Linked DNA regions of Rattus norvegicus. The protein of the gene in region 7 binds, or shares a complex with, the protein of the main gene of each other region. Links are inferred from orthologs where the notes say so. Each region holds a gene or a part of one and is shown on either strand. Other genes may lie near its edges.

Region 1 (3,500 bases), on a different chromosome or scaffold from region 7:
TTTCTTAATGAAGCAGAAGTGAGGTTTTTAAAAGCATTTTATTAAATTGTGAACACGGGTAAGAGAAAGAAGCATGCAGGAAGACAGTAAAACACTCCAAAGTGTGGTGTGGGCGCCTCAGAGGGTCTCTCTGTTGTCTTTGCAGTGGTCATATACAAGGTCTGGAGCAATGCTCTTAGAGCCTTCTCAGAAACCTGAATGAGACCACAGAGCAATTGCTTGGGACCATGGTGCTTTCATAACTATGTCTAACTGTTCTCCTTTTCCATTTCTGAGCTTTTACTTCTTTAATTATTTTTTTTAAACTTTAAGTAATAGTATCTTTAATTTTGAACACCTTTTTAAAAGACCAGAACTTGTTCGGCCCGCAACAACTTTGTATCAGCATAACTTGACGGGGATTCTTGAAACTGCTGTAAGAGCCACCAATGCCCAGTTTGACAGCCCGGAGATCCTTAAGAGACTAGATGTGAGGCTGCTGGAAGTAAGTGAGGCTGCTGGGGGCCTGTGAGGGTGCTGGGGGTGTGTGAGGGTGCTGGGGGCGTGTGAGGGTGCTGGGGGCGTATGAGCGTGCTGGGGTGCATGAGCGTGCTGGGGGCGTGTGAGGGTGCACATCTTTCTGAGGGGATAGGTCCCCATAGGTCATGGGAGCATCACGGTGCTTAGTGGCGTGAACCACATTTAATGGTACATTGGAGGTGATGCATGCATGTGGTCAGCAGGCAGGGACTGTGTCTGCTCCTCAGACCACGGGAGTCTGGAGCTGGTCTGGTAGGAGGGCTGTGCTTAGCATGAGCATGAGTCTTCACTGCCTGATCTGCCTCATCACTAAACCCACTGGCTTTTTGTTTTTAAGTTTCTGAGCTTGATAGGAGACAGTGTGGGTTCATCATGAAAAGGTTGAACTTCGAGCGTGTGTCTGTACTGCTCATTCAGAACAGTGCTGCTCATTCCCACATGATCACAGAGCGCCTGGGATGTGCTCCGCTACTCTCCCCTCGCTCGCTCTGAGCTGGTGCCAACGGGGCAGATCCCTGCTCGCACAGCAGAGCGCTTCCTGGTCTTAAAGCCTGCACCTCCTGTACTCCCCTTCCTTAGAGCAGTTGGCAGGTTCCTTAGCAGTGAGTACAAAGCCTCTCCAGTATTTGTTGTTTTATTTTATTACTCTTAGGTCTCTCCTGGTGACACTGGGTGGGATGTCTTCAGCCTGGATTACCACGTCGACGGACCAATTGCCACTGTAAGGTCATTTTGTGTGCTTGTGTGCTTGTGTGAAGTATGCGCAGTGTTTGGATTGCTGGGCTTTTTATTGTTTCAAATTGGCTTTCTTTTCTAAAAGCTAAGGTTCAAAGGAATTGTGATGTCAGGGTCTACCCACTGAGTGGGTTGCATAAGCCAAGGCTGTGTTCAGAGAGTTATTAATGAGAGCGGAAACGCTCGGTGATTTTAAGAATTCTTAGAAATATCATTGTTCTGTCACAGGTTGCAGCAGGTGCTTATTAAACGCATTGTTCATTTTATGCCATTATTCTTAGACTGTAGCAAGTAATGTAGGATAATTTGAAAGGAAGCATAAAGTATATTTTAGGAGAATCGTATTTTTTCTCCTTAGGTGAGTTTGATATCTAGCATTCATCTAGGCTGATGAGCTGAGAGCTGTCCCGTAGTGAGCTCCTTCGCTCACTCACTGAGGAGGGCGGTTTGGTCTGCGGCACGGAGCGTCGGCTGGAGGAGCTGCCTCCACACGCCTCCAGCTCGTGTTCCCGCCCTGTAGGGTTAACTGAGACTTAGTCATTTCTGCGTCTGAAATGCTAGGGAAATAGATTACATTTCCTTTATTATTGGGGACATTTGCTAAGCATGACTGGGCTCTAAAATCCCTTCTCTAGTGGGTGTCGCAGGTGGCTTCATGACTGTCCCTTCTGCGTGATAAGTCGAGTCCCTTGGCATGATTCTGTGTAGGCCACATTCACAGAGTGCCACCCAGAGCTGTGTCGTAAGTCCACGGGGCCTGAGAGCTTCAGGAGGTTTCTTTGACTTGTGGATTCCATGTTTGACTTTGATCAGGTCAGAGCTGCTAGTTTAACTCCACAATTGCTCTTAAGTTTACCCACTACCATATTCAGTGTGGCCCTGGGCTTGTGCTGTGAGTTGCTGTTCTGTGTGGTGGACTGTGCCCAAGTGTGTGCTACATCAGCAAGTTAGGACTGATATGTGCTTTCTTAGATTGTGGCTGTAGTATTTATTTGTATGCATAAAGGACACAGTAAGGCTCAGGGTACAGCTCAGTACTGGAGCACTCCCCTAGTGTGTCTGAGTGGCTCCTACGCTCCATCTCCAGGCCATTACTTATTGATGGTGTCACACACCTCACTGGCATGCCACAGTTGCACACCGTGTACTGTGGATAGCTAAAACTCAGGTTTTGAATCCATCTTTAGCAGGACTGAAGAACAACATTTTATGACATATCTGTGACAGCCCAGTCTGGCCCACAGGTATCCATTCAGACACCAGCTGAGTTGGTTGTGTCAGCAGCCTGGTCTGCTTGATGGAGAAAAAAGAAGGGGTGGTGTGATAGCTTAGTCAGGACCAGAGTGCCGGGCGTGTTCTCCTGCATGACTTGTGGTGTTTCTGTTTGTGGGTGGTGAATTATTTTACCATTGCTATCCTCATGGGCTTATTATTGCAAAAGCGCATGTGTTCAAATCAGCATTAGCGGTTGTCTGTCAGGTTTAATTGTAGATGTTACTGAGGCTGGAAAGAAGGTGTAGGAAGCCAGCTAAGTGAGTTTACTGTACAGGATTGATGGCTGCAGTCCAGGTCCCCAGCTCTCATGGAGATGCTGAGTGGTTCTGGAGTCCCCTGCAGTCCCAGTGCACAGGAAGCAGAAGTGAGATCCCCAGAATGGGCAGGCTGTGTGGCTGAGCAGAATTAGCGAGCTCTGGGTTCAAGGACAGAGAGACTCTGTCTCAACAGTAGAAGATGAAGGCATCTGCATGCATATGCAGCTATGTCCAGGCATGTACACACATGCAAGAAGGAAAAAGTACACAAAAGATAAGGGAAGCCTAGTGTATAAATACAGCCTTTTTCTGCTTTTCCCTTGGTTAATTTGTGTGTTACCTGTTTCCGTTCTATTCTCATTAATTGAGGTTGTCATTTTTTGAACAGAATTTAATTATAGTAGGAATATATCCTATAGCAATCATATAATTATATCTCGTATAATAGCAGCATTAGCTTCTACTAATTCTAAGATGTAAAATGTCAGTGAGATTTTTGGGTTAGTCTAATTTGGGACATTGTGAAATTCACAACCCAGGTTGCAGAAGAACGCATTAGCTAAATGCAGCTCGTTAACTATGTGCAGTATTTCTGGTTGACCCTGCTTTTCATGAGTCTCAAGTTATTTGTGGTAAAGTCCATCCAGATTTAAGAGTGGCGAGGTCACTGAGTCTCGATTCCAGCTACAGAAGACTGATTTGGAGGGCTTTGCT
Region 2 (3,500 bases), on a different chromosome or scaffold from region 7:
CTGACTACCCTGTCTACCCTGACTACCCTGACTACCCTGACTACCCTGTCTACCCTGACTACCCTGTCTACCCTGACTACCCTGACTACCCTGACTACCCTGTCTACCCTGACTACCCTGACTACCCTGACTACCCTGTCTACCCTGACTACCCTGACTACCCTGTCTACCCTGTCTACCCTGTCTACCCTGACTACTCTGTCTACCCTGTCTACCCTGACTACCCTGTCTACCCTGACTACCCTGTCTACCCTGACTATTCTGACTCCTGTCTACCCTGACTACCCTGACTACCCTGTCTACCCTGTCTACCCTGACTATCCTGACTCCTGTCTACCCTGACTACCCTGTCTACCCTGACTACCCTGACTACCCTGTCTACCCTGACTACTCTGTCTACCCTGTCTACCCTGTCTACCCTGACTACCCTGTCTACCCTGACTACCCTGTCTACCCTGACTATTCTGACTCCTGTCTACCCTGACTACCCTGACTACCCTGTCTACCCTGTCTACCCTGACTATCCTGACTCCTGTCTACCCTGACTACCCTGTCTACCCTGACTATCCTGACTCCTGTCTACCCTGACTACCCTGTCTACCCTGACTACCCTGTCTACCCTGTCTACCCTGACTAACCTGTCTACCCTTTCTACCCTGACTACCCTGTCTACCCTGACTACCCTGACTACCCTGACTCCTGTCTGATGATCGTGTCGTCATACTCCACAGGGTCCATCTTGAAAAACCAGGAGGACACTTTTGCTGCCGAGCTGCACCGGCTCAAGCAGCAGCCACTCTTCAGCCTGGTGGACTTTGAGCAGGTGGTAGATGGGATTCGTAGCACTGTGGCTGAGGTCTGTCTTCTGTCTCATATTCTTCCAGAAGAGATGAGTTTGTAGAGCACTAAAGGGCACGAAGGAGAGACAGGGACAGGACAGAAAGATGGATGGGGCTGGAGAGGTGCTCGGTGGTTAAGACTTAGGTTCAATTCCCAGGACCCACATAGTGGCTTTCAACCATTTGTAACCCGCTTCAGGGGATCCAGTGCCCTCTTCTGAGTTCCAAAGGCACAAGGCAGACACCCTCACGCACAGAAAATAAATAAGTAAAAGTACATCTACTTTTCAGGTAGAAATGGAACTAGCCCTTCCACTGGTGTGTTTTAATTAGTTGATTAAAGGGGAAGTCTCAGTTTAATTCCTAACACTCATGAATTTGGGTGCTAAGAAGTTTTGTGTGTGTATCTGCCTGTGCCTGTGTGTGTTTTAGTATCAACCATGTATTTCTCTAGCACACAGTAATCTTAGAAGGAAAGCAAGCACAGGATGGTGGTCCTGGCCCTTGAGACAAGTGGGAAGGGAGGAGTAGGATTCTGGGTACTAGTATTTCTTGACTTGAGGGTGCTTATGGTGATTGCCATGTCCGTTGTGAACTTCAAGGTGTAAGCTTATGATTTTTGTTTTTCTATGTAATAGTCACTACTTTGACAATAAGGTTTTAAAATTTTGGATAATATAAGAGAAAAACGCTTGTATCTTCAGTTGTTTATTATTTACATGGAGACATAGTATTGCTAATTTATTGCTGGCTAATCTTACACATTCCACTTAACTCTGCGTAACTAACTTTTAATTTATATGTTTATTTTATGTATATAAGCACACTGTAGCTGTCTTCAGACACACCAGAAGAGTCATCAGATTCATTACAGATGGTTGTGAGTCACCATGTGGTTGCTGGGAATTGAACTCAGGACCTCTGGAAGAGCAGTTGGGGCTCTTACATCTGTTTTTGTTTGTTTGTTTGTTTGTTTGGGTTTTTTTTTGGTTTTTTTTTTCGGAGCTGGGGACCGAACCCAGGGCCTTGCGCTTGCTAGGCAAGTGCTCTACCACTGAGCTAAACCCCCAACCCCAGTGCTCTTACATCTGAACCACCTCTTGAGTTGAGTCCCTGGTTACCTAACTTAGTTCTGGGACTTGATACTTTTTTTATGTACTAAAGATGACCGCCCCTGAAAATAATGTTTTACAACATTTCTCCCAGTGTGTAAACATACATTGTTCTAGGCTCTTTATTGAAACAGTAGACAAGTGGGCTTTGTTTGCATAAATTGTGTCAAACAATAGAGGTAATATTGGACATTTCTGATTTCCTGACTCTTAGAGATGCAGAGTTCATGCATTACTATGATATTTACTGTAGGCTTCTAGAAGGAAGTTTAACAAAGTATTCTCTTCCTAGTTAACCGATTTTTTTATCCTAAGTGATGTCAGTTTTACCAGTTGCCCCTTGTGTTAGTGAAAGAGAGCATCCTTGCCTTGAATCCATTTCTCTTTCATAAAGTTTTTACATCTGTGTGCATTAGTTAAGAAAGACGATTGTCTGTCTTCTCTGTCTTATTCCTGGGTAGTTTTTACATAAGCCTTATAAAATGGGCTAGGTAGCTGCTTTTGTTCTTTCCTTATTATTTGTAAAAACAGTCTATATCAGTAATTGGCTACTGAAAGTTTGAACTTAATGAGAAGTGATCTAAGCTAGACTTTCTCAGGAAGAAAAACTTTACTGGTTGAGTATGTTTTAAAATGAAATTACCATAAAATTTCTTCTTGTAACAATTTTGATAATTCTGTGACTGTGGAACTTGACTATTTCAGTTTTTTTTTTTTTTTTTTTTTGGTTCTTTTTTTTCGGAGCTGGGGACCGAACCCAGGGCCTTGCGCTTCCCAGGCAAGCACTCTACCACTGAGCTAAATCCCCAGCCCCGATTTAATTTTTTAAAATACTTGTTTGTCTATATTATGTTTTGTTTACTTAAATTCTGTCTTTTAAAATTTATTTTATGGCCTGTCAGTGGTAGCATTGGAGAGGCAGAGGCAAGTGGATCTCTGAGTTTGAGGCCAGTTTGGTCTACAAGGCAAATGGCCAGAGCTACACAAAGAAACCCTGTCTAAAATAAATAAATAAATAAATAAATAAATAAATAAATAAATAAATAAGGAAGAAAGAAAGAGAGAGGGAGGGAGGGAGGGAGGGAGGGAGGAAGGAAGGAAGGAAGGAAGAGTGTGGTATGTATACTTATGTTACAAAGAGTGTGTGTGTGTTAGTGTGTGTGTGTGTGTGTGTGTGTGTGTGTGTGTGTGTGTGTGTGTGTGTGTCCATGCACACCCACCTGAGAATAGTTTCAGATACCTTCTTTTGGCTAGCCTGGCTGGCCAGTGAGCACCAGCATCTCCCTGTCTTGCTGTCTCCCAACATTGGGTTCTGGACATGAGCCACTGCACTCAGCTTTTACATACATGCTGGAGATCTGAACTCAGGTCCTTATGCTTGCTTAGCAAGATTTTTCATCACTGAGCCATCTCACCAGCCCCAGTTTTTCTCATTATTTAGTCTTGTTAGGCTTTTATTAAGATTAATAAGCTAGTTATAATCAGCTTCTCCTCCTTAATTTAAAACATTTATAAATGGAAAAATCACATTATTTCAATGCATAGATAA
Region 3 (3,500 bases), on a different chromosome or scaffold from region 7:
CATCTCTCCAGCCCTCTTTTCGTTTTTCAAGACAGGGTTTCTCTGTGTAGTCTTGACTACCCTGGAACTCACTATAGACCAAACTGGCCTCAAACTCAGAGATCTGCCTGCTTCTCCCTCTCAAGCACTGGCTTTAAAGGCATGCACTGCACCACCTGGTCCTTCTAATTCTTAAATCTTATATCTTTATGACAATTTGAGTAACTCTAGGTCAGCCCTCTCACAGACTAGACAGTGGCCATGGAGGGCCCTCATAGGCTTTTATCCTGAGGGAGCTACACTTTTCGTTATGAAGAGATAAAAGTTCCTGGTCACTATAAATATTGATATGTGTTTCGCTTTTTGTGGCAGATGAGCCAGATAGCCGGAGCTGGCTGGAACAGCATGTAGTCCATCAGTACTGGACAACCAGGCGCTCCCGGATTCCACACAGTTCACATTTGCACTCCAATTTAGCTGCTGTCTGGTAAGCAGAACTTCTTATTTAATATAATGACAGAACAAACTTTGATGGTTAAGCATATAACTTTGGTTCGTGACTTAAATCATGAATTGTAAACTTGTTGGTTTTAAACAAGTGTAGTGGAATGTATGCGACAGTAAACATAACATCATGCTGGGGAGGAACCAAAGGCCTTAGACACATAACACAGCACTGTTTTGCTGAGCTGAACCTTACCTCCCTTTAGCAATTTCTAATTAATATTTAATATCATGAAATTACTAATGGCACTATGTTTATCTTCCATTTAAGTAGATTGATATATGCTAGCCTGTATTTAATTTCTGTTTTAATGTACTTACTATAAAAACACTAATTTTTTAAAAATTGCATAGTTTTAAGCAATTAATAGAATGATAAAGCAATTGTAGTTGCTCTGAACATGCTTCACTAAAAAGATTTCAGTGAATCTGAAAAATGAATATGGAGTGAACTTAAGACATTTATTGTGTTTATTTTTTAATTGCTGAGTATAAAGCTGCATATATTCATTGAGGCAAGTAATTTTACTTAAAACTTTTCTGTTGACCTTTGATGTTTGCTCTTTAATAGGGACCAACACCTGTACAGCAGTGACCCGCTCTATGTTCCAGATGACAGGGTGGTAGTTACTGAGACACAGGTCATTCGGGAAACCCTATGGTAAGAAGCATCAGCCTCGGAGATTGTACTGTTGAAAGGAAAATTGTTTTGTTTTGCTTTTAAGGAATATACCCAAGAAATTTTACTGGGAGGCTAGAAACAGGCCTTAGGGATGAATTTCAGACTTTAGATAGATTTTACTGTGAAGATTGTGTAATTTTGATATATTCTTTCCTATTTTAAATAATTTGGGATTGAGTTAGACCATCATTTTTGAATACCTGAGTTTAAAGCAAGGTTTGCTGCTGACTGCTTATACTTAAAATGTGTCTGTGAGGGTTGTCTGTGCTAGACCCAACACTGTGAGTCTCTTGCAACCTCTGATGAGCCCCTGGGTCCAGGTGGTGCTAACATTCTATCCATATCTGACAGTGTTACACACGCAGTGGTTTCTTTGTATCTTCAGGAGTTTAGTGGTTCTGTATGTCTGTGTGCATATGTGTGTGTGTGTGTGTGTGTGTGTGTGTGTGTCTGTGTGTGTGTCTGTGTGTCTGTGTGTGTGTGTGTCTGTGTGTGTGTGTCTGTCTGTGTGTGTGTGTGTGTAGGGGTGGTTGAACTTATAAAATGATGCTGAAATATCTTGAGTCTTAATCCTGTGAAGTTTGACAATCTTCCCATTTTTGTGCAATTGACCTATTTTGTCCCCTAATTCTGAATTTCCAAAATAAATTTCTCAGCTATACTTTAGTGATTATTTTAGTAAACTTCAAATATATTGATCTTGATCTTTTCTTATTTCATTTCAGGTTACTTTCAGGGGTAAAAAAGCTGTTTATATTTCAGTTGATAGATGGAAAGGTAACTGTGAGAGACAATATTATCGTAACTCATTTAACACACGTAAGTATCTGTGTTTATTGTTGCTTAAAAATTAAATTTAAAATTAAACAGAAGTCTTTTAAATGTTGGTAATAGGGCTGGAGAGATGGCTCAGTGGTTAAGAGCACCCGACTGCTCTTCCAGAGGTCATGAGTTCAATTCCCAGCAACCACATGGTGGCTCACAACCATCTGTAAAGAGATCTGATGCCCTCTTCTGGTGTATCTGAGGACAGCTACAGTGTACTTATATATAATAAAATAAAAAATAAATCTTTAAATGTTGGTAATAGACCTTTAGAGCATTTTACATTATCAGATTTATTGAAGAGAGTAAAAACTCTAAAAAGTAAAATTGAGTTGTGCATCATTACAGAGCTTAACCAACTCTTAAATATTTGTGACATTTAATTTTAATTTTTATTTTATCTTATATTCTGTATTGAGAAAGCAGGATGCGTAATGATTTTTTTCTGTACTTTATGTGTGTTTTTTAAAAGTATAAGCAATAATTCTGTAGTATGTACAAATTGATTGTTCACTGTTTCACTGAACTCGTTCTATTACTTTGTCATGTTCACACAGTGTCTTTTACAGTTTAAACATTTGTGAGAGGCCAGCTTTAAACACTAACACTTGACTTCTGTTGTAGAGCTGTTTACGATCTGTGCTGGAACAGATAGCAGCATATGGCCAGGTTGTGTTTCGGCTCCAGGAGTTCATCGATGAAGTCATGGGGCACAGCTCTGAAAGTCCATCACCAGGAAATGGTCCCATACCTAAGAAGACACCTGACGCTCCTTTTAGGACCTACCAGGCGTTCATGTGGGCCCTCTACAAATACTTCATTAACTTCAAGGAGGAGCTTACAGAGATTGAGAAGAGTGTTATCAGTAATGGTAGGTCTTTTTTTTCTATTTATAAACTACCTAACTCATTTTGAATACTATTAAAGTTATTCAGTTATTGATAAGACATTTAAAAATTACATGGCAAATAAGTAATTTTCATGAATATATTCGTTTTTAAAGTGATTTTAGGGCTGGAGAGATAGCGTGGCAGATAAAGGCACTTGCCACCAAGCCTTACAGCCTGAGTTTAATCTGTAGGACCTGCATGATAGAGGAGAAAACCAGTTCCTTCAAGTTATCCTCTACCTCCACATGTGCACTGTAGCACACACATCTCCCTCCACCACCACCCATATACGCATGCACACACAGAAACACACACATTAGTAAATGTAATAAAATGTTAAATAACTTTGAAGCTACCTTAAATTTCTATTTTTAAGCCATTTGTCTGTAAAAATCCAAAAAATGCCGTAGCTTACAGTGCTCACTTTTTCTTGTTCCAGTTCCTCTCCCAAGACAGGCAGCTCCTGTACATTCTTTTAGAGAGTACTATGTATGCGTATGAGAGCGCCCCCATTTCTTTTTGTGAAAAAGTTGTTTTGTTCATGCTGTGGTGGACATTTGGACTGTCCCCACTCTACTGTTAGCGGTACCTGCGGTGATTACCCCTTAACCGTTGCAGCA
Region 4 (3,756 bases), on a different chromosome or scaffold from region 7:
GCAGGGAGATGGGATGTTCCCTTGGGACCTACAGAACGTGGCTTGTCCTCTGGGTGCCAATTTCTGAGGCGTGCTCTTGATCCTTTTGTACACGAGCTCAGTGGCACTTGGAAAGGAGATCGATGGCTGGGGAGGTCCTTCCGGTTCACAGTGCCTTCCTCTGCTTTCCCTCTTCTTTGCCCTCAGGTACCCCAAGAAATTGGTGCAGACCTACTCTGTGTTTCCCAACCAGGATGAGATGAGTGACGTGGTGGTCCAGCCCTACAACTCCCTCCTCACCCTAAAGAGGCTGACCCAGAACGCGGACTGTGTGGTGAGGAAAGGAAGAGGGAGTCAGGACTTAGCTCCCCTTCTAAGACTTGTCCGTGCCCTTCTCTGGCCCTGGCTCACACAAAACACCCAACAAAGCCATGACACTGGGCCAGATTATGAACTAAGATGCCAACTTCCAAGTTGCTTCCAGGATTTTGGGGCAGCCACAGAGTATTCCCCTGTCCCGGCATATTACCCCATTTTGCCTATTCGGTGCCTCCTTGTGCTTGAACTCAAAGGTCACTTTAATAGCAAAACCTCCCCGCCTCCATTATTCAGATTCCTTTGTGTATGTTGTGAACTAAACTTGTCTTAGGTGCACGTGGTTGTTTATGCCCGTAATTCCATTTTTGCGTAGGCTGAGGCAAGAGGATCACTATTTGTTCAAAGGATAGCCTGGGCTACATAATTAAGTTCCAAGCCAGACTGAGCTATGGACTGAGATCTAGTCTAGACTAAAAGAAAGAAATGGGGGTTGGGGATTTAGCTCAGTGATACAGTGCTTGCCTAGCAAGCGCAAGGCCCTGGGTTCGGTCCCCAGCTCCGAAAAAAAGAAAAAGAAAAAAAAAAGAAGAAATGAAGCAGGATTTTACTAAATCTGTCCTAGCTGACCTCAAACTTGTGATCCTCCTTACCTTACCTTTTTCTTAAATGTATTTATTCTATGTGAATACACTGCAGCTGTCTTCAGACACACCAGGAGAGGGCATCAGATCCCATTACAGGAGGTTGTGAGCCACCATGTGGTTGCTGGGATTTGAACTTAGGACCCCTGGAAGAGCAGTCAGTGCTCTTAACCGCTGAGCCATCTCTCTAGCTCCCCTACCTCGGCTTTTTAATTGGAAATGTGTGTACTCCCATGCCTGCTGTATTTATGGCTAAAAGAGACTAAATCTGAGCTATACCTCCAGCCTTGTTTCAATAATTGCTTTTTCCTGGACTGTAGGCCCAAGGGCGGCACATATCTGTTCTCTGTAGTCTCTCTAGAACCAAGGCATGTGGGGGACATATATGTTTATGGTCCTGTGTCATGCCATTACTCTTATGGTATCCCAGAGATAGAATATTTCTTTGAAGGTAGCAAATCTACTTCCTGGTTTGGGAATTTACAGACATTACGCATTGTCTTATTCCGAGGTCCCCTTTTGCCTCAAAAGATGTTATAGAGCCCCATATCCTGCCAGGTGGTGCTGGACAACACGGCCCTGAACCGGATCGCCACAGACCGCCTGCACATCCAGAACCCATCCTTCTCCCAGATCAACCAGCTGGTGAGCCCCCACTCCTGGAATGAGAGCCCTCTGTCTGCGAGAGAGTCATCAGAGGAGGGACGCTCCACCTCCATCAAGTCCCATGACACAGTATTTCCTGCTCCCAGGTGTCCACCATCATGTCAGCCAGCACCACCACCCTGCGCTACCCCGGATACATGAACAACGACCTCATCGGCCTCATCGCCTCACTCATTCCCACCCCTCGACTACACTTCCTCATGACTGGCTATACCCCCCTCACCACGGACCAGTCAGTAAGAGCTCCCCCAGTGTCCCAGCACTGAGGCCTTTCCCTTTTCCATACTCTCCCACACAAAGCCACTCTTTGCAGCCCTTCTCTACCCACCTCCCCAGGTTCTATACTCAGGGCCTGACACTGCCACCAGTTTGCAGCCCTGCCTCCGTGTTCTACTACCTTTGTTTGGCTCCTGCAGGAGTGCTGCCCAATGGGGTCTCCTGCTCATTGCTCAAGGGCATGGGATTGGTGAGCTGAGAGCCATGATCGATCAATTGATCGATCCTAATCCCATGGCAGAGACTCAGCACAGACCTGATCTAAAGACAGTCCCCAGAGGCCACACCTCCTGCCAGCTGATGGGGACAGAGTTGACCCTTCTCCTCTGTCCATGCCACTCTGAGTTGCTCCCTGACTGCTGCCCGGGTCCCTGTGAATCCCTGTTCCCTCAGGTGGCCAGTGTGAGGAAGACAACAGTTCTGGATGTCATGAGGAGACTGCTACAGCCCAAGAACGTGATGGTGTCCACAGGCCGGGATCGTCAGACCAACCACTGCTACATCGCCATCCTCAACATCATCCAGGGAGAGGTGGACCCCACCCAGGTAAGGAAGGCCTCTTTACCCTAGCCTGGGGACCACAGGATGGAGAAGAAGCCACCACCACCTCTCTGCCCACTTCAGGTTCACAAGAGCCTGCAGAGGATCCGGGAGAGGAAGTTGGCCAACTTTATCCCCTGGGGCCCGGCCAGCATCCAGGTGGCCCTGTCAAGGAAGTCTCCCTACCTGCCCTCAGCCCACCGGGTCAGCGGGCTCATGATGGCCAACCACACCAGTATCTCCTCGGTGAGCACAGTCTCCTGTTGTCCCTGTGTTACCGGGAGTCAAACCCAGGGCTTCGGGAATGGGAGGTAGCTCTCCCCACTCTGAGCCACACCCCAGCTCCTGGTCTTTGGCCACTCTGCTCCATTCCCTATGTCCTTAGTCCCCACCCTGTCTGTCCCTAGTTCTGTGTTCTGCCTGCATGCTGTTCTGAAGCTCTCTTTCCCTCTAGCTTTTTGAAAGTTCCTGCCAGCAGTATGACAAACTGTGGAAGCGGGGGGCCTTCCTGGAGCAGTTCCGCAAAGAGGACATCTTCAAGGACAACTTTGAGGAGATGGACAGATCCAGGGAGGTGGTGCAGGAGCTCATCGATGAGTATCACGCTGCTACCAGGCCGGACTATATCTCCTGGGGCACCCAGGAGCAGTGATTGCATTTTCTGCTGTTCCCCTGGACAAGCCCAGCCCCCACCATGCCTGGACCTTCTGACACAATGTCCCCTCACATTTCTGAGTTCATGTCCCGTCTAGGAGCTGTTCCTATCTCTTCCTTCTCATTCCTGGTTCTTCACTGACTTCTTTGGTTCTAATAAAGCAAGAAGGCTCGATGATAAATACAGCAGAGCTTGGTCTGTGACTATGGGACACCAAGTGAGCACACCTTCCATATGACAACACATGACAACAGGCTGGCCTTCACCTGCTCCAACTTACTCCTTAGGTCTTAGTGTGTTTTCACTGTTCCCCATCTTACCTCGAACCAGCCTGTTTTCCTAGGGGTCAGTCCCTCTCTTGGGATGACTGAAAGTTCCTGACCTGCTGTATCCTCAGTGCCTATGCCCCTGTTCCCAGTTGGGTGACGTTGCCTTAACCTCTTATACTCAAGAGATACAGGGTCTAGGGACAAAGGGGCCATGGTGGTCTGAGCAAGTTAGAATAGCTAGGATAGAGGAGTCCCATTGTCTAGGACCACCATCGTCTTCAGGAACATAACCGTACTGAACCAGCCTGACAGAATAAAAAATTCAAGAGTAGTCCTGCGCCCACCATACCAGAGATGTTTCTACATCTGCACGCGGCCCCAGTCACCTCTCCATTTCATTCTGAAGGCACAG
Region 5 (4,254 bases), on a different chromosome or scaffold from region 7:
TTTCCATGTCAGTATTAAAATTTTTTGACTATGGAATACAGTAATGCCTGTGGGGTTTTTTTCTGCTAATGGTTTGAATTTTTCTCATAACTCATTTTCCTGTTTCATATAAGCAGTGATTATAAGCCAGATACTGTAAATTTACTTTGTTGGTAAAGGATGTGTTTTATGTTTCTGTAAGTACTCCTGAGCTTATAATAAATATAGTTACCTGGAAACAGATTCACTCAGGTCTAACTCTTCACATCAGTTGGGCAGAATCCAAGCACTGTAGTCAAGAGCTGACGCTGCTACTAAGGTAAGACCTTTCCATACACTCTACTCATTGCTTCACAAATTGTGTTTTCCTCGCTGGCTGGTAGAAGGTCTTCCAGCCCTGTGAGAGCATAGTACTGTGTTCCCTCTGCTATCCTGGGTGTTTTGTGCCCCTCCCACCTGGGTCTCTGGGTGGTAAATGTGGTAACTAAGCTAAGGCCCTCTGCACTATGTCCTCATCTCCGAGACTGCTCGCTATCCCAGCTCCCTCTCTGTTCCCTTATGTGCTCGGCCTTTCTGTTTCCATCTCCTTTTCTGTCCTCTGTCCCTGCTTCTCTGTCCTCAAGGCTCTGCTCCCATCTCTGGGCCTGTTTTATGTCCACTACCTCTTCTCCAGGCCCTCACTCCTCTCCCTTCCCCCAAATAAACCCCCTTTATACCAGATCTGTTGCACAGTGTGATTTCTCAGGGGGACACCTCGGCATGGGCCCACCAGGTACCCGACCGCCATTATACTTCATAGCTATGACTTACAATGACTTTCTTTTTTCACCTACCTAAGGTACTTTGTGACATTTGGATGAAGGCTCTTCTCAGATGGGAAGCTCCTCTTGCTCACAAGCTCTTTGATCCCCTCTCAATACGGCCCCAAGCTCTCTGGACAAAGGTTTATAGAGGCATCTTAGCTCAACACACAGATGATGCTTCTCCATCTCTGAGGGCAGACGGTGCATTTCTGCCTGATAACTGGCAGAGCAGCACACTTCCTCAGAATCCTCCAGACCCTACTATGGTTCCCTTCTGCTCCTCCCTTGTAGGGAAAACCTCTTTCTCATCAATGGAGACTTCCTAGTCTTGCTTTTGAGTATGTATGGCTGTGGAAAAATCAAATTCCTCCCACAGCACGGGCAAACAAGTTACATGCCTGCCTGCTCCAGCAACTGCAAACTTTACCGTGAGTCCTACTCACCTAGCAAACCAGTGATATCAAAAGATTAAGTCACTGTTGGGAATCTGAAGCAAGCAAAATGATAAGGAGAAATACATTCAAGCTTGAAGAAAAACTGCTACCAAAGGAAGAGACGGAATCCCAACTTTGAAAATTTCATGTTGGTTCTCATCCCAATGACTTAACTGCACTAAAACCTCACGCATGTTCTCCATTCATTAAAAATAAAAGCAAACAAACTTCTCTGGTCTTCATTTTTAAATGGTTTTCTATTTTGTGCTTTTTTACTTTACAGCAAGTTCTCTCAGAAAAGGTAGGGATGCAAAGCCTTTCTCCCAGCAGGCCACCAACTAGACCAGTTTCCCTCCTCAGACACTATTCACAACACACACTGGTGTACTCAGCACTCCGTGGACACTCCGAATGAAGAAAGAGAAAGCTCCGGAATTTGAGGTCACTCTAGGCTACACAGCGAGAGTCTGTCTCAGAACACAACCCCAAACCTACAATGGTACCCTTGTGTCCATAAATTTACTTTATGGTAAGTTAAGCTGTGGAACATTCCAAGATCCTATCAGAAGGGGCAAGATATGGTGGGCGTTTAGTGAAGAAAACACGGGGCAGTACTGTGACATAAGGTTATCTCTTAAGTTGCTGGGGTGGTAACCCCTAGAAACCGTCAAAGCCACTGCATATAGCAGCACCACATATTGATGGAAACTAGTAAAATGAAGTAAGACAAAGAAAGATGCTTGCAGACGGGATGGCAGCTACTGCAAAAGAAAAAGCAAACAAACAAAACTTGATGAACGCTTGACCTGGTTGTCTTATTTTAAATACCCACAGTATCCCTTGGAACTACAACTTTATTTTAATAAAGAAAATAACTATGGGGTCCCAGAGGTGCGAAGCTGCAGAACCACAGCGGAGAGAAGGCAATTCCGAGGCTTATTTTCGTACCAGTGGGTGCGCTCTACCCATTTGACGCGGGCGCGGACACACCCACAACAGCAGTCACCCGTGTCGCCCGGTCTAAGGAGTGGGAGATGGGGACCGGAAGATGTCCTCATACACTAGAAACAAATTGCTCCTTACTGAAACGCCAGAGACTGAGCAGTGACCGAAGGTCCACGACCCCTTTCGCCCGGGACTTCAGTCGCAGGCTTCTGCGGTGCCACAAGCACGCGCCAGGGGCCAGGCGGGTCGCGTGGACCCAGGCCGGGCGCGCAAGCAGCGGACGCGAGGCCAGAACGCCCCGCATGCGCCAAACTACGCCGCAGCGGAAGACCGGCGCTCTGGGGCCGCCACCTTCGAGGTCGCCGTGGGTCCCTTCCCCGTCCCCTCGCAGGACACCGCTAAGGTCGATGAGGGGACCACGGGGCCCTCCACGACGCCCCCACCCGGGGCTCAGCGCCGGGAAGCGCAGGCCGGGTAAAAGGAGCGCGACACGCACTCACCGTCCATGGTCTCCCTCACCGCGTTCAGGTTGGCCGAGGCCGCCGCGCCCGCGCCGCTACCGCTAGCCATGGAGAGGAGAAGCCCCCGACCGGTGGGAGAAGGCCTGACCCGGAACTGGAGCGCCCGCCGTTCGGCCCCACTATCTCACCGCGCGGCCGCGCTCACGCCGCCTAGGCCCCGCCCCCGCCGTCCAAGCCCCGCCCCCTCGCGCAGAGCGCGGACGCCTGACCGCGTTGATTTGAATTTGGAGCCTCGTTCCCTTGCGCGGAACGTAGAGCGAGGAGTTAGCGTTCGAATTCACCCCACCGCCTCGACGCCATTGGCTGGTTCGCGGACGGCGGTGAGACGCGATTGGCCGGTGGCCTCTCCCCGCCCCGCGCCCTGGTTGGCCGGAGAGCATTGAGGGAGTTAAAGAGTCGGCGCCTGCGGTGGGCCCTGCGGGGTGCTAGAACTTCCACGTTACCCACGAATGTCGGTACGTCCTCCGTGGCCCCAGGCCTGGACTCCTGTCTCGAGTTGGACCGCTCTGGTTTCCTGGCTGCAGACGTGCCTGTGCGCTCGCCTAGGTGTGAAGGGGAGCAGAGAGAGGGACGCCTGGAAGCTGAATGGTCGCTGGAAGTGACGTCCCTGCTGGTACGGAGGGAGCCCGCTCAACTTTGGTCTTCCAAAAGTAAATTCTTTCTTCTTTTTATCCCCCGCTTCTGGCTGCAATCCTGTTTGGAAGGAGTGCAGCGTGCCTTTGGATCCTGGCGGGAAGTGGTCTTCGGGAAAAGTAGTTTAAATCCCCACCTGGATCCACCCTGTCAGTCATCTGTTCAAGTGAAGACTAACGTGCCAGTAGTAATAATTGCAGTTCTTTATGGGATTACGTGGGTATCCAGAGGGTGTTCATAATATTTAGTCTGGAGAAAACGAATAAAGAGAACGGCAAATAGGAGTCGTTTGGTTGGAAGGTGCTTGAGTTTAGTGTAATCAGATTGAACCAGACCTCACTCATAACTGGTTGGCTGGTTCATATATGCCGCCTAACTTCCGTGCATGTGTTGCTTCCTCAGAAAAATGATAGCACCAGTGCCTTACCTCCCCAGCTTCCAGGGTTAGCTTCTCAGGATCATCTGAGAAAACGTACGGGATTAATTCTCCTTTATAAACATAAACTAACCCCAAGAGGATGCCATTTGGAGTGAACTCTTTGTGAGATGTCGAATGTATTTTGTCAGGATTAATATCCATGATACTCAGTAATTTTAACATGTATACTTTTGATTTCTTTTTAGTTTGCTTCCTGGGCTATGGGAGATGTCAGCGAATTAAAAATGCAAATAACACCAGCAACTCCAGGAAGGATCCCTGTTTTAAATCCCTTTGAAAGTCCCAGTGATTATTCTAATCTCCATGAACAAACCCTTGCTAGTCCTTCTGTCTTTAAGTCCACAAAACTACCAGTAAGTTTTTTCTTGCCTAGTGTTTACAAGTGATTTTAACTGAAAGTAACTACAAATAATTTTAAGTGTAAATACAAGGAGAAGATGGCACCGAATCTTCTAATGGTTCTTTCAGCAGACATGATCTGAGCGCTCTTATGTGTATAG
Region 6 (3,500 bases), on a different chromosome or scaffold from region 7:
AACTAAAGAAAATCAGAATGGCAAACAGTAAGGAAAGAAGAATAAAAAGGTACATGTGAGGATAACCGTGCATGCGTGCGTGTGCACGTGCGAGCGCAGTGGGGTTACTGGGCGGTCTTTAGGCCACAACTTAGAAGGGCTGTTAGGACAGCAGCCCCTTCTCCTTTACTTTTCTGCCCTAAGGTGTAGAGCTTCCTCCACCACTCAATATCCCTTCATAATTTGTTGTGTTGCAGCGACCCAAAGCATTGAGCCCAAACAGTCACAGGATGAAAGCTACAAAACTATAAGGTAAAATTAACCTTGCACTTGCATTGTGGAGAGAGATTTGCTCAGTGATGCAAGAAACACAAAACTGAATAAGACAAGATGACAAGAATCATTCCCAGGTCCTATCCAGTCTCCTGTGTTTAAATTCCCTTTTTTTTTTTTTCAGATCTTAACATTTATTTTGGTTCTCGCACACAGCCATGAGTTTCACTGTTCCATTTTCATAGTGAACTTCACTCATCTACCAGCCTTACCCATGCCCGTCCTCTCTCCCACCTCCCGCCAGTCCCCTTTCAGATGAGGCTTCTACCCCACCCTGCCCCAGCCCCTCCTGCCAACGCTGCCAGAGAGTTGCCACAGTGAAGCAGTGTGCTGCCTACTCCTTCCCACTGGGTTGTCCGTTTTGTTTGCCCACACTCTATAGCTGACATAATTTTCTTTAAATAAAAATTTTTTAGCTGGTATGTAAAATAATGTGATTCACGGTGACATTTTTGTTACAGAGTTATTTTCACACCCCACCAACCTCCCCAATCCTGACTCATTTCTTCTTAGTCCCTTCCCCTTCCACCAAAAGTTCTCTTTAGACTTCTCTCCTCTATGCTCCCCTTTCTACACTCTATCCATCCATCCATCCATCCATCCATCCATCCATCCATCCACCTATCCATCTATCTATATTCCACTTATTTTTTTAAAAAACCACCTGATATCTCTCAGTTGTCTGGCTTCTTTCACTTAATGTAATGATCTCCAGTTCTATCCACTTTCCATACATTTGAATTTCATTCTCTGTAGCTGAATAAAATTCCCCAGAGCAAGCTATTTCTTACTTTGTGATTTCTGATGGTCTGATCTCTGTCTCTCTCTGTCTCTCTCTGTGTCTGTGTCTCTCTCTCTCCTCTCTCTCTCTCTCTCCTCTCTCTCTCTCTCTCTCTCTCTCTCTCTCTCTCTCTCTCTCTCTCTCTCTCTCTCACCTGTGTCCTTTGCTCCATCTCCCTGAGGCATCTCCTCATCATCTCACCCAGAAGTTACTAAAGCTTCCATTCTTTGAGCTTTTTTATTATTATTATTATTATTATTATTATTATTATTATTATTATTATTATTATTTTGAGACAGAATCACATGTAACCCAAGCTGGCCTTAGACTCCCTGTGTAAACTAATATGACCTTGAACTTCTGGTCTCCTACCTTCACTTCCCAAGTGCTGGCATGACAGACATGTGCAGCCATCTCCACTTTTATGCAGAGCTGGGGCTCAAAGCCCAGACCTTTGGGGCTTCATCTGTGCTAAACGAACATTCACCAACTGAGCTGTTTCCCAGCATGCATTAGTTACTCCATTTAGTTAATCAAGCGCACTCCTATTTCTTCTTCATATCTATTGTTACCATAATCATTCAGATCATTATTTTAGTAATTAAACTTATATAAGTTTTAGCCACCAACTTACTCAAGCAGGATAATAAATAGTTGTTCTCAACTTAGGATGGACTTTCCCACCTTTGTATCTTTCTATATACTCACTCCATTGACTAGCATTTCTCCCCAGTTCATTTACTTGGGTATAATTCAATTCAGTTTTATCAAGACAGAACAAACACACAAAGCCTTCAGTCTTGCAAGAATTAACTTCATTTTTTCCTGAATTTACAGTGATTGGTGCATTATCACATCCCCTACCCCAATGTCACACTTATCCTTAGGAAGAAAACCTTGTGCTCAAATAGTCTTAGGTTTTAGTGAGAAATATACATAAGGAAGATAGAATGGGTAACAGCTTTATCTCCTCCCCCGACCCGTCCAAATAACCACCTCCTAGTACTACAGGCAATACCTCATTATTCAAGGAACGAATCCCAAGAGTTTTTTTGAATGTTATAAAGCTATACTGGGTCACTGGAAAAACTAGGTTATGAAGACATGGAAAGGGAGTCACAAGCAACGTTTCAATGGAAAACGATGACACAAGTGTCCTTACTTCTCTTTCCTGCTGCCCAGCTGGCGGGCTGTGTACTGGTCCCCATAGTCAATCAGCACCAGCTGTCGAGAAAACACATTGACTTTGTTGCCTATAAATAAATCTTCCACGCGCAGGTCCTCATACTTGGTCCGCTTTAAGAAGGTGCGACGATTCTTGACATCATGCTAGCACAAGCACAATGAGAATACTGTTGATGAATGAATGTATGCCGAACAGAGAACAGAAAGTTTCCAACAATAAAATACATATTTTAAATAATCCTGACTAGACCTATATACTAGCCAAGTACCCCAGCAACTATTAGCAGCAGACAGATTTTCATATTTCTTATTTTTATGTACACATTTCAATACCAAAGAAGCTCACTATAAATTGTATTTTCTTTAAGTGATGTATATTTATGTGTGTCTCCCTCTCTGTGGGGATGTACATGTGAGTGTGGGTACAGAAGACAGTGTTGGCTTGCCAGGAACTAAGTTATAGTTGCTGTGAGCTGCTTAGTGCAGGTGCTGGGAATCAAACTTGGGACCTACAAGAGCAGCAAGCACTCTTAACTGAGCCTTCTGTCTAGGCCTTCCATCCCCAAATAAGCTGCCTTTTTAAAGCAATTACCTATGAAGGGATGCAAAGACAGGGACCCTCTTAGAACCTCTTCAATTTGACGTTTTATACAGAGACCAACTTTTAACAATAATATTTATGACTCTAATAACCATTTATCTCTAATCACTTATCCAAAATTGATTAATCCAAAATACCAGTTGTCCTACTTCATTTTGGGGTCTCTCTATATATCTACTTCTATGTGTGTGTATTCTATGTATGTTCATGCATGTGTGTGTATGTAGGTGTGCATGTAGAGAGCCATAAAAGGTTGTCTGATGTCACTTCCCACCTTATTCTATCATCAGAGGCTCTCTCACTGAGCCTGAAGTGTGCTCTGAGTTAGGCCAGCTGGCCAGAGAGCCCCAGAGAGCTCCAGTCTCTGTTACTCGAGGTTGGAGTTATCAGAGGGAAAAAGGCCCAGTTCTTATGTAGGTAGGAGCTTAAGAGGCAAGCTCAGACCTTCACACCTTTGCAGCAGTATTGTTTCCAAATTAGGCCTATTTGTTTGTTTGGGGAGGCCTCAGCCTCCTAAGCATTGAAATTATAGTCCAATGTCACCAAGCTTAAGCTGCTTTTATATTTTTAATGTAAAATCTTGCAAAAAATACTTTAGTTAGAAATTTGCAACAAGACTGG
Region 7 (3,500 bases):
TGATCATGATAAGTTCTTTTGTTCAATAATATAAAGGACATCATTAAGTCAACTCTTAAAATCTAAACAGAATTTCTGTTTTGTTTTCTAATACTGGGGATTGAGCCCAGGGCCTCTCACATTCTTGGCAAGAATTCTAACACCAATTGGCCTGCCCAGTCTAACCTGTGGCTCTTTAATCAGCCCCACAGAGCAGCCTTCTCTGGCACTCATGGCACTGCATCTCCAGCTGAGCGTGCCTGGGGAGGCTGTCCCACAGAGCGCTGGTCTCAGATAGCCCCGAACCCTCCTCACCTGACAGAGGGAAAATGTAGCAGAGACAACACCCAGCAGAACGTTCAGTGAGTCTTTCACCAGCTCGCTTTCCTCCACCAGCACAGGCCTTGGGGTCTGGAGGAGGCCCCCACTGAGGGCCTGTAGTTCTCCATGACAGAGCCTGCAGAACCTGTCAAAGGCATCCCTTCCTGCCTCAGTGAGGTAGGGCTCCTCTCGGTGACCAGGGGGACTGTTGAGGAAGACAGAAGAGAAAGAGGTGAACAGATTGGATGGCATGGTGTGCTTTCCCCAGGCTGCAACTGAGTTTCTCAGGCAAATGCCCTGAGGTCCCCAAAGCAGCACCCAATCGTGATCGACAGAGACAGGTTCATACAGAGTGCATTCTTCTTGTGTGCTGCTTGTGTATGTGTGCTATATGTATGTTTTATTTTAGTGTGTGTGGGGGGGGAGGAGGGTAATGTGTGTTTTGCTTTGCATGTATGTTTGTGTATCACACGCATGCCTAGTGAGGCCAAAGGAGGGTGTTAGATCCCCTGGAACTAGAATTATAAATGGTTGTGAACCACCTTGTGGGTGCTAGGAATTGAACCCAGGTCCTCTACAAGAACAAGTACTCTTACTTGCTAAGCCAACTCTCCAGCCCCATTGTTTTATTTATTTTATGTGTATGAGTGTTTTGCCTGCATGTCTGTGTACCATATGCATGCAGTCCCTACAGAGGCCAGAAGAGGGTATCAGATCCCCTGGAATTAAAGTTACAGATAGCCGGGCAAGGCCAGCCTAGTCTAAAGAATGAATTACAGGCCAGTCAGGGCTACACAGAAAAACCGGTCTCAAAACAAAACAAAAAATGTACATGCTAACTTAAAATTAAAAAAATAAAAAAAATTGGGGGGTTGGGGATTTGGCTCAGTGGTAGAGCGCTTGCCTAGCAACCGCAAGGCCCTGGGTTCGGTCCCCAGCTCTGAAAAAAAGAAGGAAAAAAAAAAAAAATTGGGGCTGGAGAGGTGGCTCAGCAGTAAGAGCACTGGTTAGTCTTCCAGAGCATCTGGGTTCAATTCCCAGCACCTGTGTGGTAGCTCACATCTGTCTGTAAGTCCTGTTCCACCGGAGCCATCCAACACTCTCACACTGACATACATGCAGGCAAAACACCCATACACCGAAAACAAAAACATAATTTTAAATTTTTATTTATTTATTTTATGTGCATGAGTGCACTGTAGCTGTCTTCAGACACACCAGAAGAGGACATCGGACCCCACTACATACAGATGGTTGTGAGCCACCATGTGGTTGCTGAAAATTGAACTCAAGACCTCTAGAAGAGCAGTCAGTGCTCTTAACTGCCAAGTCTTACACAATATATAGTTAATTAAAAATATATTTTTAAAAAATCAAGGGCTGGGCTGGAGAGATGGCTCAGTGGTTAAGAGCACTGACTGCTCTTCCAGAGGTCCTGAGTTCAAATCCCAGCAACCACATGGTGGCTCACAACTATCTGTAGTGGGATCTGATGTCCTCTTCTGGTGTGTCTGAAGACAGCTACAGTGCACTTATATAATAAATAAATAACTCTTTAAAAAAACAAATCAAGGACACTAGTACATATCCAGGCCTGGTGGTACTACTCAAAAGACTAAGGCAGAAAGATCTGTGGTGGAACTGATTCCTCACGGAGTAACCCAGTCATTAGACATCATGAAGCCTGGGCTAGGGTGAGCTGCACAGTGAGACTTTGTCCTACACAACAAACTGCCCATGGAAAACCTGTTTAACAGGTCTACGATGCTTTGGACCCAACGAAGGCATTACTCCAGTATTTCCTACCACCACCAGTTTCTTGATTCTTTTTAAAATTTCTTTTTATTTTATACATGGATGCTTCAGCACATGCATGCCTCATACCCTCAGAAGCCAGAAGAGGGCATCAGATCCCCTTCTGACATTTGTACAGTTAGCTGTCATATAGGTGTTGGGAATTGAACCTGGATGTGAAGAGCAGCCAGTGTTCTTAACCACTGAGCCATCTCTCCAGCCCCATTTCTTGGTTTCTTTTTCCTTTCCTTTTTTGTTTTGTTTTGTTGCTGTTAGATTTGTTTGTTTGTTTGTTTGAAGACAGAGTTTCTCTGTGTAGCCCTGGCTGTCTTAGAACTCACTCTATAAAGACCTTGTTTCAAGCTCAGAGATTTGCCTGCCTCTGCCTCCTGCTTGCTGGAATTAAAGGTGTGCATCACCACTACCTGATCCCTTTTTAAATTTACTTATTCCTGTGCGTGCGTGCGTGCGTGCGTGCGTGCGTGCGTGCGTGCGTGTGTGTGTGTGTGTTTATGTGCTGCCTATGTATGGAGGATCCCATGGAGCAGACTAAGGCATTTGATCCTTTTGATCCTCTAGAACTGGGGTTAGAGAGGACTGTGAGGTACCATGTGGGTGCTGGAAACTGGGTCCTCTGGAAGAGCATCCAGTTCTCTTAACCTCTGAGCCATCTCCCCAGCCCAGTGTTCTTCATCTTAAGACCCTCCATTAGGGGCTGGAGAGATGGCTCAGCAGTTAAGAGCACCCGACTACTCTTCCAGAGGTCCTGAGTTCAAATCCCAACAACCACATGGTGGCTCACAACCATCTGTAAAGTGAACCGATGCCCTCTTCTGGTGTATCTGAGACAGCTACAGTATACTTATATATATATATATAAAAAAAAAAAAAAGACCCTCCGTTAGAACTCCTCAAATGTCAGGGGCAGTGATGCCTATGTATAGTACCAGCTACCTGAGAGGCTGAGGTAGGAAGAATCCTTTAGCTCAGGATTTTGAGGCTAGCTTGAGCAACACAGCAAGACCCTGTTTCAAAGTACACTTTTGGAACGTAGTCTTCCTTGCAGGAAACACTGCCGGAGTACTTTGGAGAACACCAAAAGGATGGAGTGTCTTCACAATGGAAGACAAATGAGCTGGTAGGTGACCATGCCTCCCAAACAATGACCCAGAAGAGTTACAGATGAGTAATACCATAAATATTTATAAATGAAAGGAACAGGCTGTAAGGTCAGTTTCTCAACATGTAAGGGATTGGTAGATAGGAGGAACATTTGCTTTATACAAACAAGACAGAACTAGAACCCTGCTGTGAAATTACAGGACAGAGAGGGCTCTGAAACCATCAGCACCATTTAAGCTACAAAGCATGGAGCTGGCCATCCCATGAGGGAACAAATGACCAGA

Evidence for each region.
Region 1: the proteins of Tubgcp6 (region 7) and Tubgcp3 are in contact, whole or in part, in a cryo-EM structure (PDB 6X0U), measured with the Homo sapiens proteins. The link is inferred for Rattus norvegicus from reciprocal best matches to the Homo sapiens genes TUBGCP6 and TUBGCP3. Residues at the interface, in NP_065194.3 of Homo sapiens: Pro65, Arg67, Asn68, Leu71, Met72, Ser74, Phe75, Asp76, Arg78, Asp87, Glu90, Asp151; in NP_006313.1 of Homo sapiens: Pro9, Asn10, Val11, Leu13, Gln14, Glu25, Ala26, Ala29, Gln30, Phe32, Gln33, Val36, Arg37, Ile39, Gly40, Ser41, Phe43, Thr129.
Region 2: the proteins of Tubgcp6 (region 7) and Tubgcp4 are in contact, whole or in part, in a cryo-EM structure (PDB 7QJE), measured with the Homo sapiens proteins. The link is inferred for Rattus norvegicus from reciprocal best matches to the Homo sapiens genes TUBGCP6 and TUBGCP4. Residues at the interface, in NP_065194.3 of Homo sapiens: Leu312, Thr313, Ala315, Gly316, Arg317, Ala319, Phe320, Phe323, Leu326, His327, Glu349, Pro390, Glu391, Ser392, Ser395, Leu396, Glu399, Tyr403, Ser455, Leu456, Leu457, Thr458, Gly460, Phe461, Lys464, Lys465, Arg468, Arg471, Tyr472, Glu475; in NP_001273343.1 of Homo sapiens: Met1, Ile2, His3, Glu4, Leu6, Leu7, Ser10, Gly11, Tyr12, Pro13, Gly14, Ser15, Ile16, Gln29, Phe31, Pro32, Phe33, Leu34, His35, Pro36, Glu38, Thr56, Ile59, Glu60, Thr63, Val66, Gln67, Gln68, Ile84, Arg87.
Region 3: the proteins of Tubgcp6 (region 7) and Tubgcp5 are in contact, whole or in part, in a cryo-EM structure (PDB 7QJE), measured with the Homo sapiens proteins. The link is inferred for Rattus norvegicus from reciprocal best matches to the Homo sapiens genes TUBGCP6 and TUBGCP5. Residues at the interface, in NP_065194.3 of Homo sapiens: Glu290, Ala291, Ser292, Lys293, Arg294, Arg295, Cys296, Trp297, Glu298, Arg299, Val300, Gly301, Cys302, Pro303, Pro304, His306, Arg307, Glu308, Glu309, Pro310, Tyr311, Leu312, Glu314, Lys322, Arg325, Leu326; in NP_443135.3 of Homo sapiens: Asp211, Asp212, Arg213, Trp215, Leu216, His219, Val220, Val221, His222, Trp225, Ser230, Phe232, Pro233, His234, Leu238, His239, Ser240, Asn241, Leu242, Leu264, Val265, Thr266, Glu267, Thr268, Gln269, Arg272, Val302, Thr303, His304, Leu305.
Region 4: Tubgcp6 (region 7) and Tubg2 share a complex: the UniProt entries of both Homo sapiens proteins name them as parts of the gamma-tubulin ring complex. The link is inferred for Rattus norvegicus from reciprocal best matches to the Homo sapiens genes TUBGCP6 and TUBG2.
Region 5: the proteins of Tubgcp6 (region 7) and Mzt1 are in contact, whole or in part, in a crystal structure (PDB 6M33), measured with the Homo sapiens proteins. The link is inferred for Rattus norvegicus from reciprocal best matches to the Homo sapiens genes TUBGCP6 and MZT1. Residues at the interface, in NP_065194.3 of Homo sapiens: Met1, Ala2, Ile4, Leu7, Phe8, Asp10, Leu11, Cys12, Ala14, Leu15, Pro17, Ala33, Leu37, Val40, Ala41, Ala44, Leu45, Asn48, Ile70, Leu73, Lys85, Arg88, Leu89, Leu92, Val93, Glu95, Leu96, Leu104, Leu105, Ser109; in NP_001065243.1 of Homo sapiens: Asn17, Ala20, Val21, Thr24, Val27, Leu28, Glu30, Ile31, Ser32, Ile34, Leu35, Asn36, Thr37, Leu39, Glu42, Thr43, Leu44, Ile46, Cys47, Arg49, Leu50, Cys51, Glu52, Gln53, Ile55, Asn56, Pro57, Glu58, Ala59, Leu60.
Region 6: Tubgcp6 (region 7) and Nme7 share a complex: the UniProt entries of both Homo sapiens proteins name them as parts of the gamma-tubulin ring complex. The link is inferred for Rattus norvegicus from reciprocal best matches to the Homo sapiens genes TUBGCP6 and NME7.

The regions. Positions count from the first base shown.
Region 1 is NC_086034.1:83,588,485-83,591,984, forward strand, and holds part of Tubgcp3 (gamma-tubulin complex component 3), read left to right. Parts: intron 1-348; coding exon 349-484; intron 485-1,171; coding exon 1,172-1,240; intron 1,241-3,500. UniProt on the Homo sapiens protein: Component of the gamma-tubulin ring complex (gTuRC) which mediates microtubule nucleation.
Region 2 is NC_086021.1:128,608,880-128,612,379, forward strand, and holds part of Tubgcp4 (gamma-tubulin complex component 4), read left to right. Parts: intron 1-731; coding exon 732-856; intron 857-3,500. UniProt on the Homo sapiens protein: Component of the gamma-tubulin ring complex (gTuRC) which mediates microtubule nucleation.
Region 3 is NC_086019.1:115,782,294-115,785,793, forward strand, and holds part of Tubgcp5 (gamma-tubulin complex component 5), read left to right. Parts: intron 1-351; coding exon 352-466; intron 467-1,054; coding exon 1,055-1,144; intron 1,145-1,890; coding exon 1,891-1,984; intron 1,985-2,614; coding exon 2,615-2,861; intron 2,862-3,500. UniProt on the Homo sapiens protein: Component of the gamma-tubulin ring complex (gTuRC) which mediates microtubule nucleation.
Region 4 is NC_086028.1:86,594,610-86,598,365, forward strand, and holds the end of Tubg2 (tubulin gamma-2 chain), read left to right. Parts: intron 1-186; coding exon 187-313; intron 314-1,496; coding exon 1,497-1,583; intron 1,584-1,690; coding exon 1,691-1,840; intron 1,841-2,273; coding exon 2,274-2,426; intron 2,427-2,504; coding exon 2,505-2,666; intron 2,667-2,874; coding exon 2,875-3,072; 3' UTR 3,073-3,256; downstream 3,257-3,756. UniProt on the Homo sapiens protein: Tubulin is the major constituent of microtubules, protein filaments consisting of alpha- and beta-tubulin heterodimers. Gamma-tubulin is a key component of the gamma-tubulin ring complex (gTuRC) which mediates microtubule nucleation.
Region 5 is NC_086033.1:82,202,637-82,206,890, forward strand, and holds the start of Mzt1 (mitotic-spindle organizing protein 1), read right to left. Parts: upstream 2,801-4,254; 5' UTR 2,732-2,800; coding exon 2,662-2,731; intron 1-2,661. Other genes in the region: Bora (protein aurora borealis), read left to right, coding at 3,955-4,107. UniProt on the Homo sapiens protein: Required for the recruitment and the assembly of the gamma-tubulin ring complex (gTuRC) at the centrosome.
Region 6 is NC_086031.1:79,210,962-79,214,461, reverse strand, and holds part of Nme7 (nucleoside diphosphate kinase 7), read right to left. Parts: intron 2,423-3,500; coding exon 2,256-2,422; intron 1-2,255. UniProt on the Homo sapiens protein: Possesses an intrinsic kinase activity. Displays 3'-5' exonuclease activity with a preference for single-stranded DNA. Does not seem to have nucleoside diphosphate kinase activity.
Region 7 is NC_086025.1:122,071,792-122,075,291, forward strand, and holds part of Tubgcp6 (gamma-tubulin complex component 6), read right to left. Parts: intron 506-3,500; coding exon 295-505; intron 1-294. UniProt on the Homo sapiens protein: Component of the gamma-tubulin ring complex (gTuRC) which mediates microtubule nucleation.